Schizosaccharomyces pombe: one gene and its partners. Changing the gene in region 1 together with any one later gene gives a genetic interaction. Each region holds a gene or a part of one and is shown in the gene's direction. Other genes may lie near its edges.

Region 1 (6,731 bases):
GCGTAGCTTGGGCATTACTCCAGACTTGATTGCTTGCCGCTGTAAACAACCTCTTGAGAAATCTGTGATTGATAAAATTTCTCTTTTCTGTCATGTTGGTCCCGAACAGGTGCTAGCTGTGCATGATGTCTCTAGTACATATCACGTTCCTCAACTGCTTGAAGACAAGCTATTGGAATATTTGAAAATTCGTTTCGCACTGGATAAGATAAGTGTATCTCGCGAACTCGCTCTCGCAGGCGAGAATATGTGGAGCTCGTGGAAACATTTAACACAGGGATACGATCATCTTTTCAAGAAGGTCACCATCGTCCTCGTAGGAAAATACACTCATCTTCAAGATTCCTATATATCAGTCATCAAAGCATTGGAGCACTCTGCTATGCGCTGTGGTCGTAAACTTGACCTCCAATGGGTAGAAGCTTCTCATTTGGAAGCTAGTACAAATACTAGTGACCCACTTAGTTACCATAAGGCATGGCATTTAGTCTGTTCTGCCAATGGTATCCTAGTGCCTGGCGGATTCGGCTCTCGCGGTGTCGAAGGGATGATTGCCGCAGCCAAGTGGGCTCGTGAAAATAATACACCCTACTTGGGCATTTGCCTTGGTATGCAAGTTGCCGTTATTGAATTCGCGAGAAGTGTTTGTGGAATTGAAGGTATGTTTTTTGATGCTTTTATTGGACTCCATTTTAAATTTTTAACTGCCTTCTATTATTTTTGGGATCTATAGATTCCATGCACTTACTAGAGGTTTTTGTCATTTTCCGTTGACTCTAACTGTAGACAAGTGCTACATGAATAGTTAAACAGTTATTATTAATTGGAGCATATTTTTTATTTTGCTTCTTTCAAAAGATTTTTAACTAACATTTCTAGGTGCATTTTCTGAAGAATTCGATAAGGAATGCGAAAACAATGTTGTTGTTTATATGCCTGAGATTGATAAGGATAAACTGGGTGGAACTATGCGTTTGGGATTGAGACCTACCTTTTTCCAACCCAATTCCGAATGGAGTAAACTTCGTAAACTTCATAAGATGGTTGATGAAGTTTTGGAAAGACATCGTCATAGATATGAAATAAATCCTGCGTTTGTAAGCCGTTTGGAACAAGGTGGAATTTCTTTCATCGGAAAAGATGAACGTGGTGAGCGTATGGAAATTATTGAGAAACGTGACCATCCTTACTTTGTTGGCGTACAATACCATCCTGAATATTTATCTAAGCCACTTAAGCCCTCCCCACCGATTTTTGGATTGGTTGCGGCCAGTGCTGGCTTGTTGGATGAATTTATTCAGTCTGGTGAGGAAGTCGAATGGAGCAACTTTTCTCATTTTAACGCTGAATCTGCCTTAGCTGACATGAATGACTCTGTTGAAGTTACTGAAGAAGCCACTGTCGTCACCATCAGTTAGAAGTAGGTTATATGGGATTCCGGGAATTAGGAAATAATGTGTGTTTGTTGGTGTGTTTTTCTTTATCTATAGGAAAAATTGGGTTCTGGGGTGTTGACACTATTTATCAATTGTTGTTCTGCTCAAAAGCTTTCTTTTGATGTATCCAGTAATTTTGCAACTGAACCGTTAGTCTAATTAAGCTTAACGTTATAGAGACTATCTAGAGATATGAAATGACTCTCAGAACTTCTGAGCCATTTTTACGGTTATTATATTGTAGACATTTAGAGTAATGCGTTTTGAATGCTCATTACGTGTGAGTTAATCACAGAGGCTCTGTAACAATGCATGCAAATACTGTGTTTAAAATACAGTACAAATGACATAAATCTATTAGCATATGAGGTGCCGTAGTACTGTATTAATATAGATCGATACTTTTCGAAAAGCGCTATTAAAGTATTTACGTTGATTTGCATAGGTAATAAATATGTCAAGTGTACAAGCATACTTGCAAAAAGCACTTCAGTACGTATCAATCGTTGAAAACTGTAGATAGACTTATATATTTTTATATTCGCTACGCCCTGTCATTGATTTAGCCATTAAAACATTCTAGAAATACCTTACGTAAACTTTGACAGTAATTAAACATTCAAGTTGCAAAAATTATTTCTTAATAAGGTACGAAACTCACCCCAGTTCCTATTGTAAACAACACGGACTCAAAGTTCAAATAATAAGTAGAGCCTCGACATTATTATAACGAACTGTAATTCAGCTACCTTATTTGCCTTTGGCGCAACTCGTTGCGTTGACAGCCATGAATATTTATTTGTACAAAGTTAGGAAACGCGATTGTCTATTGCACGCGTTTCATTTTTAACCATACACCTATGTTTGGTATGGAGCAATTTTGAAAGTCTTCTTCAAACTTCGATTTAATTTTTAGTGAATCCTAGTGGGAGAAAAGACAATAATGGACGATCTGAAAGAATTGGAGTATTTATCCTTGGTATCTAAAGTTGCCTCTGAAATTCGAAATCATACTGGTAAGTAGTAGGCTTTAATACTCATTTTTTTATAAATAATTAACCAAATCTAGGAATTGACGATAATACTCTTGCAGAATTTATTATTAATTTGCATGATCAGTCTAAGAATTACGATGAGTTTAAAAATAATGTCCTTTCATGTGGAGGAGAATTCACCGACAGTTTCCTTCAAAACATAAGTCGATTAATTAAGGAAATTAAGCCTAAAGATGACATTCCCACTGATAATGTAAATAATGGTAGTAACTCGGTCAATGGAGCTTCGCATGATTTAGATAGCAAAGATGTTGACAAACAACACCAAAGAAAGATGTTTCCTGGCTTAAGCATCCCAAATAGCACGAATAATTTAAGGGATAGACCAGCGCTTATGGATAATGCTATGGACGAGCTGGAAGAACTTTCGACGTTGGCCAAAACAAGGAGAAACGATAGGGATTCTAGGAGGGATGAGCGGCATTACCTCAATGGAATAAGGGAACGTAGAGAGAGATCAATTAGTCCCAGTTTTTCGCATCATTCACGTACCTCAATTTCTGGTCAATCACATTCTAGTCGATCATCGCGTGGTCCATTGCTAAATGCTCCAACATTGTATGGAATTTATTCTGGTGTTGTCTCAGGTATTAAGGACTTTGGTGCCTTTGTAACTTTGGACGGCTTTAGAAAGAGAACTGATGGTTTGGTTCATATCTCAAATATCCAATTAAATGGGAGATTGGATCATCCTTCAGAGGCTGTTAGCTATGGACAACCTGTATTTGTAAAAGTTATTAGAATTGATGAATCAGCAAAGCGAATCAGCCTGTCAATGAAGGAGGTGAATCAAGTTACAGGTGAGGATTTGAATCCGGATCAAGTTTCACGTTCTACAAAGAAGGGTAGTGGAGCAAACGCTATTCCATTATCAGCCCAAAATTCTGAAATTGGACATGTGAATCCACTTGAAACGTTCACTTCAAACGGTCGGAAGCGTTTAACATCACCTGAAATATGGGAGTTACAGCAACTTGCTGCATCCGGTGCAATTTCCGCTACGGATATTCCTGAACTCAACGATGGATTCAATACTAATAATGCTGCGGAAATTAATCCCGAAGATGATGAAGACGTAGAAATCGAACTTCGTGAAGAAGAACCTGGATTTCTCGCAGGACAAACCAAAGTTTCATTAAAGCTATCTCCTATAAAAGTTGTAAAGGCCCCGGATGGTTCATTGTCCAGAGCAGCAATGCAAGGGCAGATTTTAGCAAATGATAGACGAGAAATAAGACAAAAGGAGGCAAAATTAAAGAGTGAACAAGAAATGGAAAAGCAAGACTTATCCCTCTCATGGCAAGACACTATGTCGAATCCTCAGGATCGGAAATTTGCCCAAGATGTGCGAGACTCAGCTGCTCGTCAACTTACTTCTGAAACTCCCAGCTGGCGTCAAGCAACACGAAATGCAAATATATCCTACGGTAAAAGAACAACACTGAGCATGAAAGAGCAAAGAGAGGGTCTTCCAGTTTTTAAACTTCGTAAACAGTTTCTCGAGGCTGTCTCAAAAAACCAAATTTTGGTTCTACTCGGTGAAACCGGTTCCGGTAAGACCACTCAAATCACTCAATATCTTGCTGAAGAAGGTTATACCAGTGATAGCAAAATGATAGGTTGTACTCAACCTAGGCGTGTAGCTGCAATGTCTGTTGCCAAACGTGTAGCAGAAGAAGTGGGATGTCGTGTTGGTGAAGAGGTTGGTTACACTATTCGTTTCGAAGATAAGACCAGTAGAATGACCCAAATTAAATATATGACTGATGGTATGCTTCAACGAGAATGTTTAGTTGATCCTCTTTTGTCCAAATATTCTGTAATTATTTTAGATGAAGCACATGAAAGAACCGTTGCAACTGATGTACTTTTTGGACTGTTAAAGGGAACTGTTTTGAAACGGCCAGATTTAAAGCTAATTGTTACTTCAGCCACGCTAGATGCTGAGCGGTTTTCGTCTTATTTCTATAAATGCCCAATTTTTACGATTCCTGGGCGTTCATATCCCGTCGAAATCATGTATACAAAACAACCAGAAGCCGACTATCTTGATGCTGCTTTGATGACTGTTATGCAAATCCACTTGAGCGAAGGACCTGGTGATATATTAGTATTTCTGACAGGTCAAGAAGAAATTGATACTAGTTGTGAAATATTATATGAAAGAAGTAAAATGCTAGGAGATTCGATTCCTGAGCTAGTTATTTTACCTGTTTATTCAGCGCTTCCTTCGGAAATACAAAGTCGTATTTTTGAACCTGCTCCCCCAGGAGGTCGTAAGGTAGTAATTGCAACCAACATTGCTGAAACTAGTTTAACAATTGATGGAATTTATTATGTGGTGGACCCTGGGTTTGTCAAGCAGAGCTGCTTTGATCCAAAACTAGGCATGGATTCTCTAATAGTTACGCCAATTTCTCAAGCACAAGCTAGGCAAAGAAGTGGTCGTGCAGGGCGTACAGGACCCGGAAAATGTTATCGTCTGTATACTGAAAGCGCTTACCGAAACGAAATGTTGCCTTCCCCGATTCCTGAGATACAACGCCAAAATTTGTCGCATACTATTTTGATGTTAAAGGCAATGGGAATTAACGACCTTTTGAATTTTGATTTTATGGATCCTCCACCTGCTCAAACCATGATAGCCGCCTTGCAAAATCTGTATGCACTGTCGGCCTTGGACGATGAGGGATTGCTGACTCCTCTTGGGCGAAAAATGGCAGATTTCCCGATGGAGCCTCAATTGTCAAAAGTATTGATTACTAGCGTAGAATTAGGTTGCTCTGAAGAAATGTTGAGTATTATTGCCATGCTTAGCGTACCTAACATTTGGAGCCGACCAAGGGAGAAGCAGCAAGAAGCTGATCGACAACGAGCACAATTTGCAAATCCTGAGAGTGATCACTTAACCTTACTTAATGTGTATACGACTTGGAAAATGAATCGTTGCTCAGATAATTGGTGTTATGAACATTATATCCAAGCCCGTGGTATGCGTCGAGCTGAAGATGTACGCAAACAGCTTATTCGCCTAATGGATCGGTATCGACACCCAGTTGTTTCATGTGGAAGAAAGAGAGAACTTATTTTACGGGCTTTGTGTTCTGGCTACTTTACCAATGTTGCCAAGCGAGACTCTCACGAGGGATGTTACAAAACGATCGTGGAGAATGCTCCTGTATACATGCATCCTAGTGGAGTTTTATTTGGAAAAGCTGCAGAGTGGGTGATATACCATGAACTGATTCAAACGTCAAAAGAATACATGCACACGGTAAGCACAGTGAATCCAAAATGGCTTGTGGAAGTTGCACCAACATTCTTTAAATTTGCCAATGCAAATCAAGTTTCCAAAACCAAGAAAAATCTCAAGGTGCTACCATTGTACAATCGATTTGAAAAACCCGATGAGTGGAGGATTTCAAAGCAACGAAAGGGAGGTCGTTAATAATTTTGTTGTTTATTATTTATATAAAATGTATTAATTAGATATGTTGTTTTGGTACTACAAAAAGATATGGGGGTCATAAATAAAATCTTTGTTGATATATTCAAAATCGTACTTTGAAGTGTCTTAGCTGGCTATTAGTTCGTGAGACGTTTAGAAAACGAGCAGTATATGTTGGGTTTTAGTTCTGCTTGGTTATGAAAATAGTGGACAGCTTTCCAAGTGCTGCAAAGTACAAGGGTAATTCAAAGTACAAGAGTATTTCATAGTACGAGATGACGCCAAAAATCCCTCTCTACTGTGGAAAGGAAAAAAAAAAAACTGATCACCGGCTAGACCCAAACACTCTTATGATATGGCAGCATACAACGTGTAAATTACTCTCATTCTCGCTCGAAATAACTCTAACCCCTAGCCGAGACAATATTGAGCCATCTGTCGCTTGCCTTAGATCTCTGTGATTGTGCTTACCACCTTAATCAAAGCGCGCGTTAAAATTAATGCCATTCCACGCAATACCACGTAATAATGCTGTTGGCTTACAGTATTGCGTGCCCCGTTACAAAATGATCCGTAATTTTCAGGCGATGGGAATAATAAGGTTGTATAATCCAGAGAAGTAATCGTGTTAAGGAGATTTGAGAGAAATTTGCTTCTCCTGAAAAGCTGGGGAACTCATCGTAAGATTCACAAACTGCTTAGATGCCAACACCTGAGACTTGGATCCTAGATTGCGACCCACCTCATTGGACGGTACACCTGCAAAAATATGTTACCTCAGGTAGCTTCCTT
Region 2 (5,405 bases), 3.2 Mb from region 1:
GAATTTCATTTCCAAATTTAGTTGCGATGTTTGCGAACAAATTACTGAGTGATTTGAATGTAGAGCAAAGATGATTAGTTAGAAGAAACAGATAGAGGGAAAAAAGAGAAGAGTTAATAATTGAAATAAAATAAAAATAAAAAAAGGGAAATAAGAAAGCAAAAAAAAAAATTTTATTAGCTCTTGAAAATGTGGATGAAGCACTTCCAAATAGTAAAATTTGATTAGGTAAACAAACCGAAAAGAATAAAATGAATGCCACCGAAAAAAAAAATGTATGCAAAAAAAAGAACAACAAATGGAAACGAAAAAGATTTTCTAAAGCAATATCAAGAAAAATTTTTTAATTCATTCTAGTCTTCCTTAATCAGCGTCGCATTTCGCATATTCAATACTTTCTTTCATTTTCCTTTGTTGCATGCTTTATACCATAGCAGGTTATGCACTAATCACATGGACTATAAACGAAGACAAATGTCCGAAGGTGGTCAAAGTGCGAACCGCTTAACGAACCTTAACACAACAGTGTCAAGAGAAAGCTTCGCATGTTGAAAATTTTAAAAAGACGCAGAAAGGATACTTTTGCAGTAGCAGCAATAGGTCGACCAAAATACTGGCTCATAGAAAGTAGTAGTATTATATTTATGATGCTAAAGAGGTTGCTAATTAGGATGCAAGCGATGGGAATATCAAAGAAATGTAATAAAGAGTAGTAGGGACAAACACTCAAGAAATAGAATTTTATTTTATTTTTTTATATTTTATTTTTCTTTAGTAACAAATGGAACTCTGGTTCGTTAAGTGAAAACAAAAAAAAAAGACACGTTGGCATAAAATCGACTCACATTCATCAATCAAGACCAACTTTGAAACACATTATACTGCTACTACTACTACTACATTACAACCGTTGTGTTTTTGTTTTACAACTACCAATCCAGTCAATCCCCCACATAGACCAAAATCTCCCACACACGTGAACCCCAGTCCAAGTCTTCACCAGTCCCCTCCATCCCACCCTTTCCTAGTCTTAACGCTCACCCTACCCCCATAAGGATCGAAATCCCCCACTTTGCGACTTTCAAAGTACTGGGCGGAAACTGGCGTAGCTAATGTCTAAGATGTCAGCGTAGGTGGCGAATTTTAGTGTCTCGGGTATATCTGTTTACACAAGCGTTTGCTACTATTACCAATTCCTAAATACAGAATAATGGTTTAACCAACCGCTCGATAAACTCTGTTTCCCATTTTTTTACTCTCATCGCTTGGCCATGATTCGCTTCGCATGCATTAAAGTAATTACGGCACATTGACGTAATAAACCTTATTTTGAGGTCGTACGAAAAGAGCCCAACTCCTCGCGGCCGTAGTGGACGTGCGGGTCAACAAACCAAACTAAACAAACGCTATCAGAAGATTAAAGTTTCTTTTGTTATGCATATGTATGAAATCCCACTTTTGTTTGTGTATCAACGTTTATGCTTGGTTATTCAACGTAATGGCTTATCTACGTTTATGCTTTCCATTCATTTATCCACGTTAAATGCCGCACGTAACGTACCATGATAAGAGATGTTTTGGTAGGGAAAATTCAAAGGGCCCAGGGCCGAACTTCTCGTGTTGATGGGGCAGGAACGTGTGAGAAGGGAATTCGCCATAAAGCAGAGAATACTAACAGTTACCAGTGGGTCGAAGCTAACAAAACCAACAAGTTGAGCAAAGCAAATGAAAAGCGAGTTTGGGATTTTCGGAGAGCGAAAGAACATGGGGTTTCCTGCGAAAATGACCCATTTTGACTAGATTAGCCCAAGGTGCTCCCATTTTCTCAGCGCATCGCATTCTTTGGGAAATAAGAGAAGGAAGAAAATTTAAGAAGCGAAAGCGCACTATGCAGATGGCGCTAGAAGTTGCTTTGCTTTTTGCTACTAGACTAGACTAGGTTGGCTGGCATCGGAGTTTCAACGTCGTTCGTCTTTCATCGTTCCTCGTTTGTTAATATCAAATTTTCGATATAGTGAATTGTATTTCCGAGTATGCAATTCCCTCTAAAGCATATTACTATTGCACAGTGAGATTTGGGAGGGAAGCTTTGCGTACGCTAGCACATATGAAATCTTGTGATTTTTGAGGGTGTCTCTTCCTTTGATTCGCCAAAATTAAGCATTGACATCATGGGGTAAGGTGTCCTGTTTTGTCATTCGTCGTTGTTTGAATTAGATCATGTATAGGAAATCATTCGTCCAGGTGTCGGTCTTTTGTGTCACCATTAATCAGTAGGAGTTGGAGCTTTGTTTACTAATCATCGTATAAGTCATATATGATTTTTACTATAAATATTGAATTCGCCCCCCTTTGCAGTTCACTGAAATAAGTAGAACAGCACGGTCTTTTCGTTTCTACAACACGCTTGCTATTCTCTTATTAGTATATTCCTCTATCTATAGTCTTTCCTTCACTTCCTACATCCAAATTGATATAGGTTTCCTTTGTGGTATTATTACTAACAACGACAATTGATTGTTTTAATTCATTGATTTTGTCGTCTTTCGGTTTTTATCACATTTTATAAAAACTGCATCCCCCTCTTCTTAAGAATAATAAGAGGCCATTGTTTATTTACCCCGGTCCTTTTCTGACCATCTAATCTTTTCGTATTAGGTGCTCTTTTACTTATAGTTTGGTTTCGCCCATAACTTTTTGACGACGTTGTTTACTTTGGTTGATATAAAATTATTTTATACAATCGTTAACACCTCATATTTTCCATTTCATTACTGATCTTTTGGTTTTGTCCTGTGTTTGCATTTCAATTCAGCTCTGCCAAATTTATCCCACTACTTCATTTTTTATCTTTGGTTTTTTTTTTTTTCTAGTTAATTTTTTAATTACTCTTACTCATTTACGACAACGACCCCTTTTCTCAATTTTTTAATACAAACTTTTCAAAATGTCTACAAAACTCGTTGATCACGTCGAAATTACCGTTCCTACAGGAAAAACTTACATTCAACCTGTCGGTCTCTTTATCAATAACCAACATGTCGATTCCGTTCACGGTGGTCGTGTGAAGGTTTACTCTCCTTCTACTGAGAAACTTATTTGTGAGGTAGCTGACGCCGACGAAGAGGATGTCGATATCGCCGTGAAAGTTGCTCGTGCCGCTTTCCAGACCGATGCTCCATGGCGCAAGTTTTCCAGCGCTCAACGTGGACGTTGCCTCTCCCGTCTCGCTGACTGTATCGAGCAAAACTTGGAATACCTCGCTTCTATTGAGACTCTTGACAATGGTAAGAGTATCACTTTGGCTAGAGGTGACGTTCAAGCTGCTGCCGATTGTTTCCGTTATTATGGTGGTTGGGCCGATAAGGATTATGGTCAAACCATTGAAACCGACATTAAGCGTTTTGCCTATACTCGTCACGAACCCATTGGTGTATGTGGTCAAATCATCCCCTGGAATTTCCCTTTCTTGATGTGCGCTTGGAAAATTGCTCCTGCCGTCGCTTGTGGTAATACTATTATTTTGAAGACTGCCGAACTCACTCCTCTTTCCGCTCTGTGTCTTACCAAGTTTGTTCCTGAATGTGGCTTCCCTCCAGGTGTCATCAATGTTCTCAGCGGTGATGGTCGCCGTTGTGGTAACGCTATTAGTTCTCACATGGACATTGATAAGGTGGCCTTTACCGGTTCTACCGGTGTCGGTCGTATGGTTATGCGTGCTGCCGCCTCCTCCAACCTGAAGAAGGTCACTCTTGAATTGGGTGGTAAGTCTCCCAATATTGTTTTCAACGATGCCGATTTGGACTCAGCTGCTGTCTGGACTAACTATGGTATCTTTTACAACTCTGGTCAAGTCTGTTGTGCAGGTAGCCGTGTCTACGTGCAAGAGGATGTTTACGATGAGTTCATTAAACGCATGGTTGCCAAGGCCAAGACTTTGAAGGTTGGTGATCCTTTCGCCGAAGATACCTTCCAAGGTGCTCAAGTTAGTAAGCAACAGTATGAACGTATTGTTAGTTATATTGAGAGTGGCATTGCTCATGGTGCCAAATTAGAGATTGGTGGTAAGCGTCATGGTAATCTCGGTTACTTTGTCGAACCTACTATTCTCTCCAACGTTACCGAGGACATGGCTGTCGGTAAGGAGGAAATTTTTGGACCCGTTCTTGCCGTCATTAAATTCAAGACCATCGAGGAGGCCATCCGTCGCGGTAACAACAGTACATATGGTTTAGCTGCTGGTGTACACACTAACAATATTACCAATGCCATCAAGGTCAGCAATGCTCTTGAAGCCGGTACTGTTTGGGTGAATTGTTATAACTTACTTCATCACCAAATTCCCTTTGGTGGTTATAAGGAGAGTGGCATCGGTCGCGAATTGGGCTCTTACGGTCTTACCAATTATACTCAAACAAAAGCTGTTCACATCAACCTGGGAATGGATTCTCCCATTTAAGGAAATCAGACGCAAATATTTTTTGTAAAAAAAATAAAAAAATATGCATTCAATGGATAAAGAATGAAGAAAAACTCTAGTGAAGAGAATTATTGGATTTTTCTCTTTATGTTATGAATGTTTACAGTTTTTCTTGAAACTCTTCTATGACGGATTTTCTTTATTATGAATCAAAACGGTTTTGATATTTGAACTTTCAAATGCATTTTATTGAATTTACATAGTGATGATTCTTTATGTTAGTGGTACTTTAATATATTCATTTTCGTTAATTGCTAGATGATTTTATTTGCAGGTAAATATAGCCGTAAGTTTTACTAAAAGAACGGAATGGGGATGTTTTTGTGGTACGCATTCCTTTGGGGAAACAGATTGATTTGTATTTAATTTGCGAGGATGTGGGTGCGGGACGGGAAAGAACAACACTGAAGAAACAAGTATCATTATTTCATTTGAAAAATTAGGGAAATAGATTCATCTGTTTCATTATCTAAAAATTAGTGTACAACTGCTCCAGCTCTTCGGGAGAGACGCAAACTTCCAACAATTCTGTAGTGAGAAAATACATTTCCTCACCCAAATTGCCAAACGCTTTTTGTTCAGTATCGCCGAATGCGCAGCATGCTATTGCATAAACGAAACGAGGTTGTAACGCATTTTCAGCTAACATAAATTTTGATGATAAATCTTCGGAAGATAAAATGTACAGAAGCCGAACAAGAGATACTAAAATCTCTACGCATTCATTTTGAGGGTACATTGACGAAAGGAGTTGCTGATGATACCAAGTGATGGCTAGTCCGATGCATACTATTAAGGGATTGCATACTTTTAAAATCTCTTTACCAATGTTTCCAGACATTTGTATAAACACGGTAAAAAAGGATATGACAAAGCGATGAAGCGTTATCCATTCATTCTAATTTGTTAGAAATAAGCAATGCAA
Region 3 (3,775 bases), 730 kb from region 1:
GGACAAAGGAACTATCAATATGATCGAACTGGATGAAAGGGTTTTCTGAAGAAACATCAGTGTCTATATAAGTTTGGACTTCATTGTCAAAAGGTTGACCTGCGGAACGAGTCCTAGCAGTCGTAGATGAGTAAAACCGAATACTCTCTGGATCACTTATCCTGAAGCTTGAAATTAAGTTAACAGAAAGCTTTTGTTCATTCTTTTCTTTTGATTTCTTCAGTTTTTCGGCTAATTTTTCCAATCCAGACGCCCCCAGCAGACATCTCCGTTTATTAAGCTGCTCCGCATTCTCTTTCTTGATGTTTTCAGCCATTTCGAAAGAGGGAAGCGCAATTACTGTCACTGAATTGTTTTCTACAAACCATTTTTTTAACAATTTTAGCCAGTCCTTTTCTTCCCATTCCTCTAATAATCTATTGTACTCCAGCATCTTTAATAAGTTAGGAAGATCTTTACCTTCTCGACTTCCGTAAACATGATCCAAAGTCAAAATTTTCATAAAGAGAGAACTAGGGAAAGCCTCTAGATTTGTTAAGTATTGATCGCGTCGTGTTTTTAAGTAATCCTTCATACGATTCATGTCGATTTGCTTAGTTTCGGCCAAAAGACGTAAAGCACGTTGTTCTAAGCCATTAATTTTTTCTAAAGGAACGCTGTCAAAAAACAACTGAATAGAACAAGGGACACGGAGTGAGACATAAAAATAAACAAATGAGCAAAACGGGTCTTCAATTTCAACAAAGGTCTGCCCAAATGGGGAGACGGCAGATTCACTCAGGAATTCACAAAGTGTTTCAATAGCAAAAACAGTGTATGCATCTAAGGCCGAGGGTCCATTCCAAGCTAAAGAAACAGATCCAGTATATTCGTCTTCGGAAGAAAATTTAACAGTTTTCAAAATTGGCTCAGGAATAGTGTAATCCACATTAGTTGAACACCATGGACGCGTCCACGTAGGTGGAGTGATAATACCATTAGCTAAAATTTCCTTTACGATACCAGAGGCACAGCTTAGAAGCCTTGATTCGTTAATGCACCCGGTCACAATTAAACAAATATTGCTTGGAACATACATTTCCTTATGATATTCTCTAATTTTCTCGATAGACAACTTGCGAAGTTCGCTGGGATGACCACCAGTCTCATAATAGTAACCACTGGTAACTGGATATTGACTAGTTCTCATACAATCAAACATAACATCCGTCTCTGAGCTTTGAGTATTCTGCATTTCAGAATAAACAACACCGGACTCTTCTCCCATACCATTTATATGATAAACTTCTGTGCAAAACGCTTCATCGCTTAGAATTGGAGACAAAATGTGATCTGCAAATACAGGCAACAGACGAAGAAATCCATCTTCCTCAGCAGCAGAAAGCTCATATGAAGTATAATCAACATCGGTACAAGCATTGATATCACCACATGCCCTGCCAGCAAATTTTGTAAGAATGCCATTCATGGGATACTTTTTACTGCCCATGAAACACAGATGTTCAAGGGTATGAGGACAGCCAAGATTATCGTGAGCTTCAGTTGCTACTACAAATGATCCTTGTAATCTGGATGTTGGAGTTTTTACTGAAGCGACGCTGAACCCAGTTGCATCGTTTATCCATTTGTTGACCGTGTAATTCAATATACGCTCACTTGAGATTTGGCGAAATGATGTGTCATCAGAAAGCATACTTTAATAAAGTTATCCAAAACAGCAAAATCGAGCAAAATGAGCAATACAATGTCCCGTTTCCCAACGAGAGTGCTGTTGACTTTAATAAAAAATCCTTAACAAGAGAATACAAATACGATGTTTAAGGATTCTCTATTAAAGAAATTTAGAATTACCTCTATAACAGCGTAACAACTAAGTAGTAGTAAGAAAATGGTCAAGAAATTTCATACTTTAGTATGCATAAACTGTATAGACGAGGTAACGTCGTTACTGTTCAGTTTGGTTTGCAAACACCTCCTTAATAGAATAAACGTTCGCTATTAATGAATAGGTTTGAGATATGTTCAAAGATAGTTTTGTGTTATTAATGCAAACATACTAGTTGTAAAAAACGGATTTATCATATGGTAATTAAAAAGTGATTTGTACCTCAAAATGAACGAGCAATGTACTCCTAGTCCAACTATAGGTTTTTACACTTGTTAACAAACAACCAGTAGATGCATTTATAAATTACCTTTCCTAGGTTTTAATTAAGGAAATTAAAAAGTCTGCATCTTTTGGATGATAATAGCAAACCTATATATTTTGCAACCACTATGGTTGCACAATACTTAATTTGCTTCTACCGTACACTATCTATCTACTTTAAATGCTTTGAGTTTTAAGAGTTATGTCTTTGGTAGCCTACGACTCAGAGGAAGAGGAACAAACTTCGTTAGTAAATGAAAACAATGATATTAAAGGACGTTCTGAGGAACCCCATTGGAAAATCCCAAATTCTCCTAAAGCTGAAGTTGACACAGAGCTGGAGAAAAAGATAAAGCAATTTATAAAATTAAAGGCAAAGGGCATTCATTTTCATACGAGACTATCAGAAAATGAAAATTTCAGAAACCCAAAGTTACTTGATAATTTGCAGGATTTTCTGGATATTAAGGAGCCAAGAGGAACTATGATATCTAAGGATATGTGGGATCCAACGGACTTTCATAAAAACGTCTATGCATCCGCACTCTCTAAATCACAGGATGAAATGATTGCCAGGCGTGAAAATTACCAAAAGCATGATAGAACTGAAATTAAATTTCAAACCTCTCAACATCCTAAATAAATTTGAGTATCAAAAGATAATGTGTTTGTAAAAATAATTTCGTTACCGAATATATATAAGACTACTTAATTTAATACCTTAGCCTGTTATGAATAAATGATCCAGAAATGCCAATTTTGATAAGACATTTATATGGCTAGTAGCTTAAGTCATTAGTTTACCCTAGTCAATTTTCAAAAATAATAATTGTTATTATAATAATTTTAACTACCGATAGAACAAAAAAGCCTTTCATGAAGAGAATCAGAACCGTAAATAATAAATAGCATCACTTTTAACTATTCGAAATTACTGATTGAAGAAGTTGTCGGAGCCAATTCCTGCAAAGAAACCAAAACTAAATGCAAAAACCTCCGAAGACTCCAGTAGCCAACTTTCTGAATTCGTTTTCTTCGTATCTCTTGATTTAATACATCTCGAGCAAACGATTCATACACCTACATCAAAAATTAGTATTTATTAATATTCAAAAGCGTAAATTACTCTTAAATTTTAGGAAAAGACGCTCTTTTATAGTAAGGAACAGGGTAGAACTTACCTGCGCCGAAATTTCTTGTAAAACACCACTGTCGTAAAAAGTCCAGCTTCCATCAAAGTCAGAAAGCGGTTTTGATACATGACAAAGAATAGGGATGAATGTCCGTGTGGAATTAATGTAAGCAATAATAGGTCGAATTAAAGCATTGTTGATATAGCTTACTTGATTTGTAAAAATAGGAATTACGGCTTTGGGATTATGTAATTGCACATTAACATCAAAGTGAACGTCTTTGTAAACATCCTCATCTTTTTCTTTCTTTTTCAATTTGTCCATCAAACTTATCCACGCTTTTTGGAAAGAATTTTCCGAAGGTTCTGATGGAAAAGAAATATTAACTAAAAAATCAACACTGCCATCATTAATCCATCCAAATGCTCCCGAAACACCTCGATTTAGATGATCGATTGCGACATTATCAATACGCAAGCGACTATGTCGCATA
Region 4 (4,565 bases), 680 kb from region 1:
TTTTTTTGTCCAAGACCTTACCGGCAGTTCCCTGGTAACGAGGCCTGAGGCAAAACCCCTTCTGTCAAAACAGTAGAGTGGAGCAGTAACTGCTTTTAATAGGAGTCTTTGTATCATCCAGATCTGGACTTGTGGTACAGAACATTTGGCAGAAGTTGGTGGTGGTAATAAAACAAGAAGTTTGAAAACAAAAAAAAAAAAAAAAAATGATTTTCGTAAGTCGTTTAAAGAAAAGTGAAAAGTGTTTTTTCTTTATACTGCACTCGTTGGTCAAGTGAATGAACTAACTTTTTCCTGCGCTTAACTATTTACCAATCTCCACTCTTCAAAGTAGCAAGATCCATTCGCGCCATTTTTAGTTGATCCGGTTTGATGGAATAACTGCTTGGCGCTCGTTCATTCGTTCTTTAAGGTTCAAAATGGACATTTTTATTTCAACTCTAATTACGATATCGGCAGTTGGGAGAGGAGGCAAAAGGCCAAATTTTTAGTTTATAAAAAGGAGCATCTCCTTTCATCTATTCTGCAGAAACCAAGGCTTGTATTGTGAGACGTAAAGCGTTCAATTGCAAGGTTTCCCCATTGCTAGTCTCGTTGACAGTCATTCCTTGGCTTTAGAAAAAGAAGTTTGCTTATTTACTTTTTTCACTAATTTTGGAATTCCGTCTTTTTGAGCTACTTGTTTGTTTAGACATTTTAATTCTTTAATTGTTTACAATTTACTGTCTTTTTTCCTTCATAATAGAAACGCATATCGAGGTTTGAATAGGTCGAAATAGAAATATTTTGTTTTGTTAATCGTCCATCATCTCATTTCATTCACATTCCATCGATCGGTGCTATATTCTCTTTATTTATTCAGCTTAATTGCCCGATTTTTTTTTTAAATTATTTCTTACCTTTTTTTTTTTGGTTTGGTAAAAAATGAGCTGTGTTACTAGAGCCCCCATGTCTGTACCCCAGACTGCCCTTCAACCTAATTCCTACGTTAATTTCGACGCTCAACAAACATCTTCTACTCTGCTTCCAGTAGAAGTCATTGACTCGGTCATGCAGTATTTACCTGCACACGACGTTATCCAGTCTAGCTTCGCCAGTTATCCATTGACTTTGATTGCCAACAAGATCATTCGTGCTCGTCTTTCCTTCTTAGACGAATATTCACTTCGCGTTTTTGCAAAGGATGTCTATACCGATTCACCGATTTGCAACTTGTCTGCCCGTCGCGGTTTGTATTCTTTACAATATGATGGTTATTCGGTATTCCACTTGGATCCTAACAATTGCTCCTCTATTTTTCAAATCTCCTTTGAGGACGACGAGGATCTAGCTTCTTTTGAACGATACCCTGGGGAGTTTCTTGCTCCCCATATCAATGTTCGAATTCACGTTACCTTGTCTCGTTCTTCCTGCGATCGTCATCAAGCCGATATATTTTCTTGCTTTCAAGATCCTATTCGTGTCCGCCGGGATTGGCTTGATTCGATAAAACCCGGTCAACCTGAAACACTTTGGTTTGATCAAAACACTCAACATGTCATCGGTCTAATTGTTACAAGAGTTGATGCTGCTCCTGGAAAGTATGATCTTTCTGTTACATCTGTTATTGTTCAAACGGAGTACCTTTTATCTTGCCTCGAGAAAAGAGTACATTAAAAAAGAACTTTTTCCATTCTGCATTGTTTAATATTCTATTATTTAATTCTCATGAGACAATCATGATTGCGTTCCGTTTTCTTTTAATGTTTATTTTCGTTGCTTGACAAGCCTGTGTCGCTCACGACTTCTTTGTTTGACATTTTGTACTTATTATTCTTTTAATTAAAAATTTAATTTACCTGTGATGTATGTTTTGCTGTGTTAATACATCCTGGTTTCTCATTTAATAAATGCGTTTATACATTTTACGCAGTCGACTGGTTTTTTTTTTCAGCGTTGTTTTAATTTCATTCAGCATTTGGCTTCATGTACAAAATTTATTTCTTAACATTTTTTTTCTAATAAACTTTTTTTTGTTGTACTGAAAAGTAAAAACCTACCTTTTTTTAAATTGCTCAATCAATTGAATGTTGTTTTCACGTTTCTCATTTCTACGAATATTTTAGCCTTTGTAAAATCTTTTTAATAGACGCTTAATCTTGTAAATGTGACTAAGTCTATACTACGTTCTTTCGCTCCAGTCAGTCTGCATTGTTTTGAGAGTTAGTGATTTTATGCTGGAATCGACGTGGTTATTTCGCAAATCTTTTAAATATGTAGTGAAAGCAGTATTTGTTTATATTATTGAAGAACTGTAAAATTTAGGTTTGACATTGGTGGTTTTTTGGCTTTACAACTCGTCTGTTAACGGAATTGGGTAGTGTTCAAATAAAATTTAAAATTGGTAGAACTCTGGGATAAGTTTTAGTATTTATGTTTCTATGCAAATAAAGATAAGCTTACTTGTTTCATTTTTTCTTTAAATTCTATATATCTTCATTGTTTTTACATGTCAACCAAGAATACGAATGTTTGGTTCATAAACATACCTCAATACATTGACACCACCACCCGTCACCATGAAATGCGTCGAATGCGGCGCGGAAGTCGATTCTTTATACACATATTATGGAAGGGGTACCAGTAATATTCGACTAGCTCAATGCGTAAGTAATATACACACAATATGTTTCGTTGATGTAGTCAACTTGATCGTAAGGAGCTAAGGGCAAGTCCATTCCAACGGCGACGAAAAGAAGCTTCATGAATATTTTTCTCTTCAAATATAATTTACATTATTGTAAGCAAATGACGATCATTCAATTTTTGTCTCCATTTATCTTGCTTAATGAATACTGAGAGTGGAATGCGTAGTCTTGCTGTAATCGTTAAGATCGACTTGTTCTTTAGTTTTTTTTAAGTACAATTTCAAACTAACGACTATGTTACAGAAAAACTGCAAACAGTTTGCGGACAAATACATTGAATTAGATGTTGTTCTCATCAGCATGGATGTAATTTTGATGAAACCGCAAGTTTACCGTCATCTTTTGTTTAATTCTCTGTCGGCACGAACATTTCGTAACGTAAGTATTTTATTCATTTCAATGGCTTTTTAAATAGCTGACAAAATGCGCAAAGGTTGTCAATTTCTGCATATTAATTTCCCTTTTCAACGTTTTTTTAGTTTGGTCACGACTAGAAAAACGCGCAGCCCTCTTCCCCTACTTCACACCTGCCCAAGCATTTCTCTCCCAGCCAATTATCCGGCAGTACTTGACTTTACTGCTAATATGTTTGGTTGAGACAACTGTGTATCAAATTTCAGTAGTTCTGTTATTATGCCTAACAATGGGTTGGAAATCTTGGACTTCTGCGTCTGGCGCTGTAATACTTTCTTCTAGCACAAGAATGCTACCCGTTTTCATGGTAATTTGGGACTACGACCTTTCTATAGCGGCAACCGTCGTAGAATGGGTAGTTTTGTTTAGCAATGTGGATGCGCTATGTATATTAACTGGAAGCCGGCGGTATTTTAAAATTGGCTTAATCGTTCTTTTTGCCAGTCTCGTGAGATCTATTGTCGTTTATATTTTTTTACATTTAACAGGACTTTCACAGATTCAACCATCAACTCCTTGTGATGGGTTTCAGCATTTTGTAAATCTATTATGTGTATACTTTCGTTCAATCACTTTAACTGCGCAAACTGCAGTATAATGACAAAAGGAAATGGGAAACAATACGGCATCGACATAGTGTATCAGTTATTAAAAGTTTTTATATCACCCGTTTTAAGAAACTGGTCAATTATTAGTTCTTTAATAAGTTGTTGATATTTAAAAAATATGAATTTGATGAACCAATTGAAACCGAAGCCAGTAATCATATTTCCTAATCTTGTAATATGAAACTTGAAATGGTCTAAATAAAAATAATAATTACACCCTCAAAGCATATAGATATGTAATAGATACAATTATATAGAGGAAACACTGCAAGGAAATAAAAAAGGCAAAAAACTGAAAAAAGTAAAACTATTTTGCTGAGCATAACTAAACAAATGATCATTCGAAGATATTTTTCTTACCAGTGGAATTTGTTGCATTTTTTTAATAACAAAGTTCAGAGGTTTGCTTTTGCTGTCGCTAAAGAACCCATCACAATTTTATCAGCTACGATATTTTTTAAATATTTAATCAATATATGTATATAAGTCTTTGTTCATTATACATTTGTTTAGTTATAGAAGCAACCAGGTCAGCTAACACCGTCTTAGCTCGTAATGTAAAATAAACTCATAGTAAGCGAATGAATATTTCAGTAAGTTTTAAATGAAATAAAAATTAGAAAGTAAGTAATTTATAGAACTGTAAGCAAATGCAATCAGACCCGTTGAGATTGAATACAGTAAACTATTTTTTAAACCCAATTCAAAAAAAAAAAATAGCGTTGTTTTGCTACATGTGCTGCATTTTGTGCTTTTAAAAAAATTTAAAAATAATAATAATAATAATTTAGTGTGTAGCTAAGATGTCAGCTTTTTATAATTAGTATGTTAAATCAATTAATAACAGGTTACATTA

Evidence for each region.
Region 2: mutations in prp22 (region 1) and atd1 together harm fitness more than expected from each alone (negative genetic interaction), as found in Schizosaccharomyces pombe (one large-scale study listed by BioGRID).
Region 3: mutations in prp22 (region 1) and mug151 together harm fitness more than expected from each alone (negative genetic interaction), as found in Schizosaccharomyces pombe (one large-scale study listed by BioGRID).
Region 4: mutations in prp22 (region 1) and arv1 together harm fitness more than expected from each alone (negative genetic interaction), as found in Schizosaccharomyces pombe (one large-scale study listed by BioGRID).

The regions. Positions count from the first base shown.
Region 1 is NC_003424.3:1,206,133-1,212,863, reverse strand, and holds prp22 (ATP-dependent RNA helicase, spliceosomal Prp22), read left to right. Parts: upstream 1-2,284; 5' UTR 2,285-2,379; coding exon 2,380-2,452; exon of another isoform or gene 2,453-2,505; coding exon 2,506-5,939; 3' UTR 5,940-6,052; downstream 6,053-6,731. Other genes in the region: CTP synthase Cts1, read left to right, coding at 1-659, 880-1,418. UniProt on the Schizosaccharomyces pombe protein: Acts late in the splicing of pre-mRNA. Required for the splicing of introns with a branch nucleotide to 3'-splice site distance greater or equal to 15. Mediates the release of the spliced mRNA from spliceosomes.
Region 2 is NC_003424.3:4,452,614-4,458,018, reverse strand, and holds atd1 (aldehyde dehydrogenase), read left to right. Parts: upstream 1-2,361; 5' UTR 2,362-2,947; coding exon 2,948-4,459; 3' UTR 4,460-4,739; downstream 4,740-5,405. Other genes in the region: ATR checkpoint kinase regulatory subunit Rad26, read right to left, coding at 4,950-5,378.
Region 3 is NC_003424.3:1,933,006-1,936,780, forward strand, and holds mug151 (transcriptional regulator HCNGP-like protein), read left to right. Parts: upstream 1-2,308; 5' UTR 2,309-2,351; coding exon 2,352-2,792; 3' UTR 2,793-2,953; downstream 2,954-3,775. Other genes in the region: sdd3 (metallopeptidase), read right to left, coding at 1-1,693; protein Mdm31, read right to left, coding at 3,071-3,229, 3,331-3,775. UniProt on the Schizosaccharomyces pombe protein: Has a role in meiosis.
Region 4 is NC_003424.3:1,889,996-1,894,560, forward strand, and holds arv1 (Arv1-like family protein Arv1), read left to right. Parts: upstream 1-2,548; 5' UTR 2,549-2,558; coding exon 2,559-2,645; exon of another isoform or gene 2,646-2,930; coding exon 2,931-3,065; exon of another isoform or gene 3,066-3,120; coding exon 3,121-3,699; 3' UTR 3,700-3,851; downstream 3,852-4,565. Other genes in the region: pof15 (F-box protein), read left to right, coding at 925-1,656. UniProt on the Schizosaccharomyces pombe protein: Mediator of sterol homeostasis involved in sterol uptake, trafficking and distribution into membranes. Also regulates the sphingolipid metabolism.